Linked DNA regions of Stegostoma tigrinum. The protein of the gene in region 1 interacts with the protein of each later gene in a pairwise test. Links are inferred from orthologs where the notes say so. Each region holds a gene or a part of one and is shown on either strand. Other genes may lie near its edges.

Region 1 (7,318 bases):
CAGACAAAAACCATGCAATTATTACAGCTCATATCAAAATCTTGCTTTGGGCCAGCAAGACAAGTTCTTGTTTTGTTGTTTCAAATAGCACTGGAAAAGTAAAGGTCTTACTTGGGATCACTTGCAGAGCATCTTTAAATGTAACAGTCCATTTGCTACATTAAGAGAAAGACAAGCTCAGTGTAGTTGGGCTATTATTGGTCATTAGTATGGGGTGTGTTGGTTCATTAATACTATTTGACCACTATGCTCCCAAAAAAGAGTGGAGTCATTACTTTGTCAATAGCCAGTGCTTCAGCAGTTACTGGTTTCCTACTGACAGGAGGGCTGAATTATATTTAGACAAAAAACAGATCTCTGGTGTCAGGCAAGGCTTGCACTCTAGGCTTCTAACCCCAAGGCAGGACACCATCACTGCACCCCAATTGTGCATTTACAACCTGTCTTTTCATTAGAGTGTGAAGTGGTTAGGATGGTATATGGGATACCTTTATCCAATACTCTGGACTAGTAGGCAAGAACAAGGTGGTCATGATGGACCCGCATATAAAAAAGTATTACTTCAGCCAGAGCTGTGGTGCTGTATGCAGTTCTCGTTGCCACACTAAAAAGGTGATGTGACTGTACTAGAGGAGACAAAAGGAGGACGTTCGAGACTGGAGCAATTCAACTAAGGAGATTTAAAAAGTTGAACCCCGTGGGTGGTAGAGGGGGATGGGGAAGATGGAGAAAGGAGTTCTGCGAAGTCTGAACAGCAGGGACCAGACAACCTTCGTACTTAGATCAAGACCCAAAAAAATTAACCAATGAGCACTGAGTTGTGGACATCTGCCTAAGCGATAGCGATACAGGCAGAACCAAAGCAAGACATTCAAAAATGGTACCAGGTGTTCACCAAATGCTATAGGGTGCAAAGCTAACAGCCAAGAACTGGAAAATGTTATTAGATTAAATGGCTGTTAAAATGACTGGTATGAACGGCATCCGAAGAGGTGCCAGGACCCAGACACTGATTTACCCAAATAAATTGGGCTCTTAAGTCTTCCAAATCTCAGAATTTGAGTAGAATTCCTACCTGTAGAAGGCCAGGAGTTGGACTGGAATTTTACCCAGGCAAAAAAGATACATACCATCGCCAGGTTTCCCATTTGTCCATCGATCCCTTCCTCTTTCAAAAACTGCGTTAGGAACTGGTTAACTGTTGGGACAGTCATGTCAAAGCTCAACACCTTGAGTAGGAGATGCTCCATGCGCAGGAGTTGTTTTTTTGTGTAAGTGTCATCTGTTATGTAGACAAACTCATCTATTTCCGGGGGATAGATTTCTTCGTATTTCCTAGGGGGGAAGTGTACAAATTGATCGTTCGAGATTAAGTTTGTATTAAAATTGCCGAGATTACGCAATCTGCGCATTCCTCCAGCCACGATTGTTTTAAGTTTGCGCTCAGATAGCGACTTGACAAGTTTCCCACGCTAGAATTAAAAAAGAAAGACTTACGATGCTACCAGCATAGCTGCTGTGCCCACCAGTTGCAGCTTTCCCCTCAGGACTGACATACACGACAGGAATCTGTCCAGGTAGTTTATTGCTAAGTACAGTGTCTCAGTTTGTAGGTTGTACTCCTCACCAACTTCAACTAGCCAATCCACCAGAATTGAGCGCATACTGTGCGTTATATCTGGTTGCTTCTTCATATACCCAAATTTCGGTCTGCATTTCTCCTGAAAAATAAACACTTTCAACGATTAACGCCAAGTTGGGCGGATGAGAAAAGCCGAATTGCTAGAGTGACAAGTCCTGGTGCAGAATTAAAAATTCATCCCACAGGGAATGAACTGGGAGCCTACGAATTTGAAGGGCGGAGACTACGAGTCTAAGTCTGCTCTGAAATCCAGACAAACACTGCTTAGTGCTACTAGATTATTTCCTGTAGTCCAACTGCAGCGGAGTTGGACGCCTGGAGATTAAGAGTGAGTGAAACAAAAGCAGTTTCATAAGCGATACAGACTTTCTCGTAGTTAAATCTTGTTTCGAAGTAGATTTCGCAGCAGGCGAGTTTTGAATGCCCAAGTGGAAAAAACTCAGGACAACTAGCACTATGACCAAAGCCAGCGGAGAACCGCGAAGGACATACAGTCAGCCGAAAATGTTGTTATTTCAATAAACATTAAAGCGCATGCTGCTGAGACTCACTTCTGCCTCTCGGAGATACCGATAAATGTCTTCTGCATAGCCTTCCACGGCGAGGTAATTTACGTGTAGATGCGAATCTTCATGTGAACGCTGCGAGCGCATTGATGAATCTACTATCATAGGCGAGACTGTACAGACGACATAAACATTGAACGGCCAATGAAGGTTTGGGAACAGAATGCTTCGAACACGTGTACAAAGTAGAACTAGGGCTATGTACTCGAATGGTAAAGTTTTGAACCCAATCGTGTTAGTAGCGAAAATAAAACGGATGCAGTAACGTAATCTATATTTTAGAAGGCAACGCGATTAAAAAAAGCTCAAATCGAGCGATAACAAATTTAGCTCGCGTCTCGCAATTACCTTCACTCAGATCCAAGAGCAGACAGTAGTCGTCTGCTGGTTTGGAGATGTTGCCAACTTCTCCAAGTTTAGATTCCAGTTCAGAGGTCAAGTTACATTCAGAGACTTCGACCTCATCTTGGACTTCATCCTCCATGTAAATGGAGAAGTTCGGGTTGGACACAAAAGTAGCCGGATATTCCGAGAGGGTGCTGCAGCCTTTCGAAGTGAACCCATTGTCAGTCCCCACTGCAATGGTGCTGCAAGCTTTCGCTGAAACCTAATGAAACGCATTAGGTGTTGAGGGGGGGGGGGGGGGGGGGGTGCGGAGAAAAGGGAAATTCAAGGTCAGATAGTTTGCAAAACGGCCGAAATCGCCCAAGAGCTCCAAACGATAGATTTAAATAGCAGAGCTCCGAACATTCCGGGGGGGGGGGGGGGGGGGAGAATGGAAGCCCCAGGAATAGCGGATTTACTGAAGAGGTTACCTGAGAAAGTGAACGTCTCTGCTGGTCATTCTCATTTAGCACCCCTAAAACGGTCCTTTGCTTTTGGCTAACTGGGCCCATCTGCGGGACAAGATGTTGATTTTCTTGATTAGCATTGCGCTTGACAGCAGCGGAATTACTCCTGTACATGGTGGCTACATACATAAATTAAACAGCACCAACAAAAAAATTAGCTCGCACAATTTTTTTTTTCCGCCGTTCAGCTCTAAGCAATACCCTCTCAGATCACACTTATGAGTGTGTAAGAGCTTGCCTGAAGCCAGCCTATATAGCGGAGTGACTCTAATTAGTCTCCGGGCGAAAAGCAGCTCCCTCCACTCCCATCGTGTAGCAAATTACTTTCAAGCAGCCCGCGTCTATTAAATCGCACCAATCACCTTCCGTTATTGGCGCACGTGAGCTTCGTCTCCCCGGTGCCATGGTAACGCAGCACGCTCCCGGCTGCCACCTGACTTCCGTATGTTCTGCGGCTGCGTGTTACCAAGGCGACAAAGAAGTAGCATCTTTGGGAAAGAATTGAGCGCTCGACATTCTGTACCCCGCAGGATGCGGCACGAAAACTGGGGAGACTTTCTCCGAAGGCCTTTGTTTTTCAAAATATAAGATCCGAAACCCTTTTCCTGCCGTATCTATCCAATCCTTAAGGCGCTTCCACGGGAACCGTTGTAAATGTCTTTTTCCGGCTTCACCCATTTTCCACGAGTTTCTGGGTGGGATCGGAGGTAGAAAACAATATGCAAAAGATGGACGACAACTTTTTCCACATAATCTTGTGGCGCAAAATGCTTGGTGCTGGTTTTGATCATGGACTGAATGGTGGGGGTTGCATTTATAGGCCCAAAGTGGTATAGTACGACTTCAAGTATGAATCGCATAGGATTAGTTTTTAGCGAGGAAGTTGGTTATTGTAAGCGTTAGAAGCGTGCAGAGTCGGCAGATCTTAGTGCCAGACCCGGGAGTCCAATGCTTCATGCAATCGGCTGTCATAAATACAGATAGCTGAATAAGCAGAGATAATGGGAACTGCAGATGCTGGAGAATTCCAAGATAATAAAATGTGACCCTTAGGGTCTAGGCCCGAAACGTCAGCTTTTGTGCTCCTGAGATGCTGCTTGGCCTGCTGTGTTCATCCAGCCTCACATTTTATTAGCTGAATAAGCATTCGGCAACAGGAAGACCAACTACCACAACCACCCCAACCCCCACCAAATTAGTGCTATTAACAGATAATTTAACAATTTCTGAAGAACGGTCTAGGCCCGAAACGTCAACTTTCCTGCTCCTCTGATGCTGCTTGGCCTTCTGTGTTCATCCAGCTCTACACCTTATTATCTAATAATTAAAGTGTTTGTTTTGACTCTTGCCGTGGATCGTTCCCCAGGTATTACAACCCAAGCCTAAAGTCAAAATCAACAAGGTAAAATTAAATATAAAATAAGGTGACTATTGGAAGCTGGGAGTTCTACTACATATATCACAATTAAAATGAACTTAAATACAATGTCAAACTATGTGGGTTAACATTACAATTAAAACATTGTTAATCAACATCAGCATCCATCACCAATTCTAAATCATGTGAGAATAAATTCTGGAAAATTGGACAGATTGGGGTTGTTTTTCTTGGAAGTGAAGACCATAAGATACAGGAGCAGAATTTGGCCATACGGCCCATAGAGTCTGCTCCACCAATAGATCGTAGCTGACATGTTTTCCAACACTATGTTTATGCCCTTCCCCCATAACCCTAGACCCACTCCCCAATAAAGAACCTATCTATTTCTGTCTTAAATAGAGTCAATGACTCAGCCTCCTCAGCCCTCTGTGGCAATGAGCTCCACAGATTAACCATCAATTGTCTGAGGAAGTTCCTCCCCATCTCAGTTCCCAAAGGTTGTCCCTTCATGCTGAGGCTATTCTCTTGGATCCTAGTCTCTCCTATTAGTGCCAATACTTCCTTCATGACCTCTAGGTCCAGGCTTCTAAGTATTCTGTGAGTTTCAATCAGATCCCCTATCCTAGACTTTGTGTATAGTTCCAGAGTGCTCAATGGCTCATCCCTGGGATAATTTCTGTAAACATCTTCTGAACTACCTCCAGTGCAAGCGCATCTTTTCTTACATATGGGGCGCAAAACTACTCAATATTTCAAATGTGGTCTGACCAGAGCCTTAGATAGCATCAGCAGTATATCTCTGCTCTTAAAGTATTAAAGCCTTCTAGAAATGAATGCTAACATTGCATTTGCCTTTCTAAATACCAATTAACCTAAATGTTAACCTTAAGAGAATCCTGAACTTGAATCCCCAAGTCCATTTATATTTCAGATTTCCAAAACCTTTCCCCACTTTGAAAATAGTCTATGCTTCTATTCTTCTTTCCAATGTCCACACCCTCACACTTTATCACATTGTATTCTATTTGCCACTTCTTTGCCCTCTTTCCAAGACTGTTCTAATCTTTCTGCAACCTCCCTGCTTCCCCAACACTACGTGTCCCTCCACTTATCTTTGCGTTATCTGCAAACATAGCAACAATATCTCAGTTCCTTCATCTAGATCATTAATATATAACAGAATAATTGTGGTTCCAACAAGGACCTCTGCAGAACCCCAACAGTCACCAGCTACTATCCTGAGAAAGGTCCATTCATCCTTACTCTCTGCCTTCTGCAAATCAGCCAATCCTCTCTCCGTGCTAGTACCTTACCCCCAATACCAGTAGGTCCTGTCTTATTTAGCATCCTCATATGCGGGTTGTTAAAGGCCTTCTAGAAATCCAAATGGATCATGTTTACTTGCTCATTACCTGTACCTTTGACAAAGCCTTGCCAACTCAGCCCTATTTTATCAAACACTTCAACCGAAACCTGCATCTCCTTTCTAGCTGATTAATGATTTAACAGCCATATTAGGTTTATTCAATACATTCACATCAGTTCAATGACACTTTGATCTTTGGTTTTAAATTCTGCATCTGATGCCACCATTCACTAACACCTGAAGAAGGAGCGAGACTCTGAAACCTTGTGTTTTCAAATAAACCTGTTGAACTATCACTTGGTGTCATGTGATTTTTGACCTTGTCCATTCCAGTCCAATGCCTGGTTGAGTAGGAAACTCAACTTATATCAAAGATTTCATTGGCAGGAGAATTAAGTATAAGGGTCGCGAGGTTATGCTACAGCTCTATAAACCCTGGTTAGACCACACTTGGAATATTGTGTTCAGTTCTGGTCACCTCATTGTAGAAAGGATGTGGAAGCTTTAGAAAGGGTGCAGAGGAGATTTACCAGGATCCTGCTTGAACTGGAGTAGAGGTCTTATAAGGAAAGTTTAAGGGAGCTAGGGCTTTTCTCATCGGAGCAAAGAAGGATGACAAGTGACTTGATAGAGGTGTACAAGATGATGGAAAGGCATAGATAGAGTGGATAGCCAGTGACTTTTACCTAGGATGGAAATGACTATTATGAGGGGGCACATTTTTAAGGCAATTGGAGGAAGATATAGGGGAGATGTCAGAGATAGGTTCTTTACACAGAGAGTGGTGGGTGTGTGGAATGCACTGCCGGAGGTGGTAGTTTAGTCAGGTACATTAGGGGCATTTAAGTGACTTTTGGATAGGTACATGGATGATCATAAAATGTAGGGTATGCAGAGTAGTTTGATTTCAGAGTAGGATAATAGGTCAGCATGATATTGTGGGCTGACGGGCCTGTACTGTTCTATGTTCTATGTTTTAAAGATAGAAAATGCTGGAGAAACTCAGGAGCATTTCATCAGAAACTCCAGCACTGTTCTGGTGCCCATTTGCTTTATTAGGACATAGTTAGACTTATAGGTGGAGCTCCACTTCCAGCAAAAACGACTACGATATTTATCATTCTTATTAACCCCCCAGACTAAAACTGTTCAGAAATACTTTGAAGAGTTCTAAAAGTCTTGAAACTTTAACTCTGTTTCTCTCTCCACAGATGTTGCCAACCTGCTGAATTTCTTCAGAATCCTGTTTGGTTCAATTTCCTGTGTCTGCAGTGTTTTGCTTTCATTTGACCCTCAACTTTTACGCAATATTTAGATATTCACTTCCATTGGCATAGCTTCCAGTATTATGGTCCAAGAGATGGAACATGGGATTAGTGTGAGTCTGATCTTTGTTGAATGCTTCAGACATATTGGTATCATTTTGTACTGTAAATGTCTGAATCTGCCTGGTAAAATTCTCAGCTTTAGATTATAATGCTTATTTAATGGTACTTGGTCATGTCTGCTTTC
Region 2 (8,325 bases), on another chromosome or scaffold:
ACCTTGCATTTGGTGACCCTTTGTCAGAATAATGCTGGTCTACCAGTGAAAACCATTTCCTGGAATTAATTTAAAAAACATTTAACTTCTTCAACCTGACCAGCACATTTGCTGTGACTCAATTTTTACAGCTGTCTCTTTGTTAAAAATCATTCAATCAGGCTATTCATACATGGTATTTGAAAACATAGTATTTGAAGGTATCTTATTTAATTGGGACTGTGACTGATTGTTCCTTCTCATCGAGTGATGGAAGTAGATTAAACAGTGACTTGAAAATAGAAATGGAAATACAGTATACCTGAAAAGGTAAAAATTACAAGGTTAAGAGGGAAAGCACCACTGTGGTGGGGCAAAATGGATTATGCAAAAACCTCTTTCAAAGAACTGGCATAGGCCTCTGGTCTAATAGCTTACTTCTGCACTGTAGGGGTCCAATTTTTTTTTGATTTTATCCTCTTTAATCTTCGTAATTTATTCAACACTGTTAGGCATGCTATCCTTCCAAAACCCTGTTAGGCATGCTATCCTTCTCTGTGCATAGTTCATGTCTGTAACACCGTCTGTCCTGACTCCATCCTGTCACATTATAGATAATATGTCCAACAATTTGTCCTTCCATACCCAAGTATCTCTAGTGCAACTAGGGTTACATAATTACCCATGCCATTTTATAAATTATATCATATTCTTTCGTCATGATGGTTATCCACATTTTCGGTTGTGTATTCAACATAAAGCCCTGGATGATCACATATCTTCTCCAAGTTAATGCCAGCAGAACCAAGTTGTCCTTTACAGCTGCTGCAAACACTTTACAGTATCTTATCCTTGGCTGCTACCTCATGCTGTACTGTTCAAGCTTTAACTGCTTCCTTCCCTATAGTCAATCGAGCACGCACCAGGCCGCCTTTGTTTCACTTCTACAACAATGCCTGCCTTTTACCCATCTGTCTTTCTTTCCCATCAAAACCCAATTCCATACATTTATAGGTCGATTACTACTCTCCTCCAATGATAACTGTCCCAATTCTATCATTTAAAAATCACAGGTACTGAGAATGTTACAGCTATTCCATCTCCTACATGAAGGCCTTATTACCATTACACCACCAAATTCAAGTAGCTTCCTACTGCTGCAAAGAACTGGATTCTCTTTCAAATCCCTCCAATAACTTTCCTACCCATCCAATAACCACTGCACTCCCCACCGGTGGCCACATAATGCATGATATCCACCATCTCTTCACCCTTGAATACACTCCTATGTCTGGATTGTTGCCCCATTGTTCATTTCTCACCCTTTGTGTTTCCCCTTCCTGCTTTTCTTTCTGTTGATTTATTTTCTTCTCTACTTGGGACTCTTTCAAAATTTTCTTCCCCATATTCCAATCTGAGACATTTTTGAAGGCTCCGACAATGTTCCAAAATATTAGTGTATGGGAACATTGGAGCAAGAGTAGACCATTCACTTGGGTTCATTCCACTAAATTTGATCATGGCTGATCATCTACATCAATCCAATCATTCCACTCTATCCCCATAACACTTGATGTTAGAAATCTATTAACTTATGCCTTGAACATAATGCAACAGTGCCCTGTGTGGCAGAAAATTCTTTTAGACTAACACCTCCACTTTCCCAGCTAGGGGAAATATTGTTCCACACCCAACTTGTCCAGTTCTTTAAAAAATTTGTACATTTCTAAATGTTAGTGAACATAGGCCCAGCCTCCTCAATCAGTCCTCAATTACAGGAATTAATCTGGGGAAACTCTGGAGTTCCCTCTACAGCATGTATATCCTTCCTTAGATAAGGTGACCAAATTATACACAATACTTCAGATATGGTCTCACCAAGGTTCTATACAATTGAAACAAAACATTTTTACTGTTTACTCAAATCCTCTTGTAATAGAATCCAACATGCCATTCACCTTCCTGATTGCTTGCCGCATCTGTATGTCATCTATCAGTGACTTATGAACAAGGACCATTTTCCCCTTTGGGCATAAACACTGCTCAATTTCTGAAGAAATACTATGCACCTCATTATTCCTATCACAAGTGAATAATCTCACACTTATTCATATTAAATTCCATCTGCCATATTTTTTCCCATTCTTTGTATCCTCCTCACAATTTAGATTCCCACTTAGTTATGTGCGATCAGCAAACTTAGAAATATTACATTTGGTCCTCATTTCCAAATCATTGACATAGATTGTGAACACCTAGGGCCCAAACACTAATCTTTTACCCATCTGTTTCTTTCTGTTAACCAGATTCAATCCATGCTAGTATATTGCCCTTTATCCCACATGCTCTAATTTTCCTCACTAATATCCTAGGTGGTACTTTACCAACAAGCTTCTCAGAATCCAAGTGCACAAGATTCACTAGTCCAATAGCTCCCCACTACCAACTAAAAAAAACTCCAACACGTTTGTCATTATGATTTTCATTTCATACGTCCATGTTCACACTGACCAATTGGATGATTATCAGCTACCATACATTTTATAGAGTCCACTATTTTTCCTATCACTGATGTCAGGCTACCACACCTGCAGTGCCTTATTTTCTCTTTGCTGTTTTTCTTAAGTAATGACATTATATTTCAACGTTTACAATTTGGAAGTATTATACAGAATCAATAGAATCTTGAAAGATGACAACAAATGCATCCACTCTCTCTAAAGCCACCTCTTTCAATACTCTAGGTTGTGGATTATTGGATCCCAGCAATTCAATTTTCAGTCCCAGTAATTCTGCAGGACTACATTTTTTTAAACCACACCTTTTTTTCAGTTCTTCAATTCATTAGTTTCTTTGAACTATTATTTCTGGGAAATTTCTTGTACCCATTCCCATTATAAATTACCCCATATCTGTTTGTCATGGACCCACATTTGTCTTTCCTATTTATATACGTATATAAGCTGTTTTTTTTTGTTTTGGGTTGGGTTCATATTCTATTCTCCCCATATTACAATCATTAAGAACTTGCAACAAACTGTCATGCACATGGTTGCAAAATTCAGCATAGCTATTGAGGTGCAACAAATGCAACGATCCGATGCCTTGTCTGAATGGCTTTACAGAGATAAACAATCCTTCAATGGCTAGATCAAATATGAGACTACTGCTATATGTGCCCATAGCAATTCATATGCAAAATCCTAACTGAATGTTGGACGCTCCATTGATATTCTTCCCTATTCCACTATCCCGTTCCCGTTTCGCTGTCAAGGATTTAACAGAATTTGGCGCAAATTAGATTATTGAGTGACAGGGGTAAATGCTGTACTTTAACTAATAAGAATAACTCATAATGGTTAAGATAACCTCTCTGAAGTTTGTCTTATATAAGAATCGGTGATTCCGCATGCATTATAAGCCACCACCGCCCCCCCGCCCCCCGAAGATGGGGCGGGATATAATGCTCAAGTGTACTAAGACTGATTGTAACTACATTTGGAAAATGTGCTCTGGGTAAATCGGAGATTTATTTACTTTGTGTCAGCTTTGTTTGGGCGATACATCTTGAAACACATTACAAATTACTCCACGGTTTTACCAAAGGAGTCGTCGTTTATCCGAGAGAAACACAAATACGGCGTTTGCCCTTTCCCTGCAGTGTCCCCAAAAGAGTGATTCAAAAATATACTAGGTGTGATTGCGAAGCACAATAAAACAATTCTAAGCAATGATAATTTACACTGAAAATACTTTCTGAATCAGTTACTTTCTAGCTTTTGTCTTGCGACCTCATTACAATCAAGACCGTTCATATTTTTCTTTGCTGCGCCCAGTATTTATAAGTAAACACAGCGCAATTAATGTGCAAACAGTGAGATCGACCTCTGCATTTCAGTTCTGTTGACGTCCTAATGTTTACCAAAATTGACTGTTTTCTTGGAATACAATCACAGAACATGTTTTACAGTGAGATCTGAGTCTTCATTTCGTTTCCCAAATACTACATACACTGAGGTGAAGGAAAAGTCGCCTTTACGTATCGAGTCTCGAAAAGCGATCCCTGGATGTCTTGGGTAGCTCCTAAACATAACACCTTGTAACAGCTATGAATGCGTCTAGAAGGCTCTCAAACAACTGCCGAGAAATCAACTACAAGACGTTTTTACGGTTATGTTTAATTCTTGAAAACGACATCATAATTTCTGACGCGCCCTTTTAGCACTCTGTGCAGTCACCTGCTGTATTGCTGAAGGGAGACACGAGTTGCCAGTTAAACTACAGTATCTACAATGAAAATATGATTTACAAACTCTCACCCACGTTAATATTTTAAAATAGAAAGAGAACCCCGTATTTTGTGAATTCGACTACATTACTATTGTTTCATAGCCTTTATTCTGCACTCACCCGGCCAGTTTCAGATGATTAATCCACAAAAGTGGTAAACTGCACAATTGAGAGCGGTTATTGGCAGAAAGTCCAAGATCGGAGTTAAAAAAATTCCGCCAAGAAACATGTTTACGTCGCATAAAAGGAAACCAGTTAAGATTTTAAAATATAACCGACACACTGTTAACCCCTTGAGCACTTTCCAGTAAAGTTACTCGGTTGGTCATGCGTGCTGCGGCTGTGCTCAATCATTAGCGAAATCATTCATCTCACTGAAAATTCTCCAGTTTTGGGATGTCTGAGCATTCATCGAGAGCAATTTTCATGAATAGCCTGATTACTCTCGATCATTTATTGCGAGGTGTTTGCTGCATTTGTAGGATTTTAACAATTAGTAATGTGCATTTTGAGGTGTAGGATAGCTGGTTTATAAACAAAACACTTGGATGTGCTCATGAGCTGCCCTATCGTCCAGGGCTACGGACCAAGAGTTGGAAGCTGGGAGGGAGGCTGGATGACGTTTACCCGTCTAGTACGGAAACGATGGACCAAATGCACTCCTACGCTGTCATATGTTTTTTTTAATGTCCCTAATAGTCGGTATAAAGTCACTTCAATGAATCTAAGTGATGCAATATGTAGGAGAATTCACGTTTGCTGCGGGAGAGCTGTGTTTGCTGCGGCTGTCGGGTTGATGGCGCTACGAGCTGACTCCTCTTTAGTAGGTTTCACGCTTCGCTAATACTTCTCCATAGGCGCCTACCTCTCACTCTCCCTTCGAGGAGGGAGGGGGAGAGAAGAGAGAGATTGCTTGTCAATAAACAAAACGTTTTTAGATCATTACAAGGTCGCTCCCAGCCTAGAGCAAGCTCGTTCCCGAGTCCCAGCCCTACACTTGAGGGCGGGACAAGGGCGGAGCAGCTTCACTCCGGCCAATCGCAGGGTGCTCTCTTTTTAAAATTCCCTGTCCGTCACTCAGTTTCCTCTTCGTCAGCCTCCTTCGCCATATTGGGTAACTGAAAAAAAAGCCAGTTTTTTTTCCGCCTTACTGGAATCAGTTTTGACGAGCGATAGGTTGTAAACTGCTGCTGTTGTTGGCGTTTTTGTTGTGGTTCTGTGCTTTGCAGCTTTCTGAAGAATTGCACGATATTGTTACATCGTGTAACCTTGCAGTCCTGCTGTCTGTGAGGCTTCGGACGATTTGCAGCGAGAGGGGGTACGAAGGGAAAAAAAATGTCAAACGTACGCATTTCTAATGGTAGCCCTTCGCTGGAGAGAATGGCAGCTCAGCAAGGAGGGCACCCAAAACCTTCAGCCTGCAGGAATCTTTTCGGTCCCGTAAACCACGACGAGTTGAACCGAGAGTTACAAAAGAAACAGAAGGAGATCCGCGAGCAGGACAGGCGGAGGTGGAATTACGACTTCGAGAGGGACAAGCCGCTGGATGGGAATTACAAATGGGAAGCCGTGGATTGCAAGGATGTGCCTCATTTTTACTGGGGTTCTCCCAGGGAGCAAGTGTCATCAGCCGATTGCAGTATGGATGTGAACGGGAACCATGCGATAGTTTGCGCAGGAACTCTGGCTCAGGGAAATTCAGGGGAGACACACTTTGCGAATTCAGAGCAAAAGGACGTGGTTAAAGAGACAACTGAACATTTCACGGACTCAAAAGAGCAGTGCTGTAGTCCCCGAAAACGAGCTGCGTCAGTCGGTAAGTGACAAAGATGTACTCTATTGGGAGTTGCAGGATCCATTTTCAAACGGACCTTTCTGACCTTTTTTTTCGCGCAAAAAGAAGCTTTCACTGCCAACCAGTGGTTTATTCACATATTTCCGCGGACCTGCTTTTAAAATCGTGCAGTTCTTGGTCTGTTTGGGGTTAAGCATGAGTTCCCCTACGTTTGAAAAAGGATACTGCAACTTCAAAGGCCTTTTACAAAGATGAAGCAAACGGCTTTTCTCCCCCCTTCAACAAGCTTGAGATGTGGTTGACTACTACCCATCAGCACGACGAACCTTCATTAAGGAGTAACGCACATAATATACTATCATACTGAATTTTTTTTTACAAATTTTAATTTAGCTTTTCTTGATTATAGATGGCTTTCCAGAAGCAAAAAGAACCAACACAGCGACGGAGTCAGACTGGTCAGCAAATTCTCCCAATATAAATACATTAGAGAAGACGCCGAAGAAATCGATTTCGAGCGGGCATCAAACATAAAGCAAAAGTGACAAGGTAGCTCTTCTGTACCTTTTTTCAATTGACTGTCTCCTCCCAAAATATCATATAACAACAAAGGTAGCAACAAGACTTTATACTGCATTAACCGGTTGGCCTCACTGGCCCAGGTTTGAAAGCGTACACAGGGTTGTAATGTCACTCGTGTTTCTTTGCTATATTTTCTGACCGACACGTATGCACAGGTGATTATTTCCAGCTGTTTTCAAATAACCAGATACACTGTAGCGTTCTGCACAAGTTAAACATCTTGGGTGTCCTTTCCTTCCCTCCACAATACGGTAGATTGCTTTGCACAAGTCTTGTCAATAAAGTCTCAGGACTGACTGCGAAAACGTAGTACATTACGCGGGGGAGTGCGCAACCACAACTGTAATGTGTCTTTGTAGGCTTTATACATTGGGCATTTTTTCCCTTTACGCCAACTTCCAACATTAATACAATAAAACAAGAAATAATCACGATTAAAAACAGATCACAGGAGGAAGCTGTTCTTTATCTCCCCGGCTGATGTACAAGCAGCATTCAAAATTACACTTGCGGTTGAGTCCAAGGTTGTAGAATAGCTGCATGGCACATATATTTTAACGTTTCTCTCATTTCCCCTATGATTTTATAAGTTGTAGTAAAATGTGAGTGGCGGGACTATGTGGTGTACACTCAGGTTTAATATACAAACAAGGGGTGTGGTGGGGAAGCTAGCTTTTTAAATAGCTAGTCTCAACAAATTAAAATTTAATGGAGATGCTTATTTCTTGGCTCTGTCCACATTCGTAGTCAAAGTCGTGCATTGAAAATATTGTCCACTACTTTTTGTGAAGTATTGTGTATGCTAAACTGTCTTCTGTATCAGTTTCAGATAGAACAAGGTGTGTTTGCACTGAGATTTTAAAACATCCTAATTAGACTACAGATATATTGCCCTGTGCAGTTGTGATATTTCTTTAAGTTGGTAGGTCTAACTAGTCAGATCCAAAAACTCTCTCTTTAAGAAACCTATATAGGTGACTTTCTTTCAGGTAGTGCTGCCACACTCACCATATCTCCCCCCTGGCCCAAAGCAAATCAGTTTGCTTTTTAAAGGAAAGGCCTGGATGCACCACAGCTAACTATATTCAATAACAAGTAATACATATTTGTGCATTTGAAAATTATAGCAACTAGTTAAATGTGGTTCTTGTGTCTAAAGTCCCACCATGCTGACAAATGCATTTTTTGATTACTTCCAGGCAGTGTAACTTGTCCAGTTGCTAGATTTTTAAATCAAATATTGAAATATCATGTTAATAACATGATCATATCTGTGCACAAGTCTTAGCACTAATGGTATTAGTTGGCTCAGTGTCCAGTTGAATAACCAATTGCTTAACCCTTTTGCCAACTGTACCCTGTAATCAGCAGCTGAGTTGAAATTATCAGTGTAGCTATGCCAAATAGCATTTTAAGTAATTCCAATGATACATAATTACCAAACATTGTATTAATCTTTTTACTTTGTATTTTTCCTTGTTAGGTATGAAGATCCTTTTTTTTCCCCCTTGTTCATCCATGGCAGTGCTTGATGAAGCGAGGACGATCTCCTCAGAGACAGACATATCGTTATCTCTCCAAGTGTGGAGAGCCCAGGCACTGAACTTGTGAACACTAAACCGCTGATTTTAGAGTGGATATAGCGCTGTGCAATTAGGTTCTTCCTTTATCACTTGGCT

Evidence for each region.
Region 2: the proteins of ccna1 (region 1) and cdkn1bb interact in binary tests that used the Homo sapiens proteins (3 or more experiments, as listed by UniProt). The link is inferred for Stegostoma tigrinum from reciprocal best matches to the Homo sapiens genes CCNA1 and CDKN1B.

Annotation. Positions count from the first base shown.
Region 1 is NC_081359.1:85,060,124-85,067,441, reverse strand, and holds the start of ccna1 (cyclin-A1), read right to left. Parts: upstream 3,362-7,318; 5' UTR 3,189-3,361; coding exon 3,024-3,188; intron 2,816-3,023; coding exon 2,557-2,815; intron 2,322-2,556; coding exon 2,194-2,321; intron 1,722-2,193; coding exon 1,498-1,721; intron 1,336-1,497; coding exon 1,131-1,335; intron 1-1,130. UniProt on the Homo sapiens protein: May be involved in the control of the cell cycle at the G1/S (start) and G2/M (mitosis) transitions. May primarily function in the control of the germline meiotic cell cycle and additionally in the control of mitotic cell cycle in some somatic cells.
Region 2 is NC_081371.1:28,399,511-28,407,835, forward strand, and holds the start of cdkn1bb (cyclin dependent kinase inhibitor 1Bb), read left to right. Parts: upstream 1-5,267; 5' UTR 5,268-5,604; coding exon 5,605-6,085; intron 6,086-6,473; coding exon 6,474-6,598; 3' UTR 6,599-6,613; intron 6,614-8,129; 3' UTR 8,130-8,325. UniProt on the Homo sapiens protein: Important regulator of cell cycle progression. Inhibits the kinase activity of CDK2 bound to cyclin A, but has little inhibitory activity on CDK2 bound to SPDYA. Involved in G1 arrest. Potent inhibitor of cyclin E- and cyclin A-CDK2 complexes.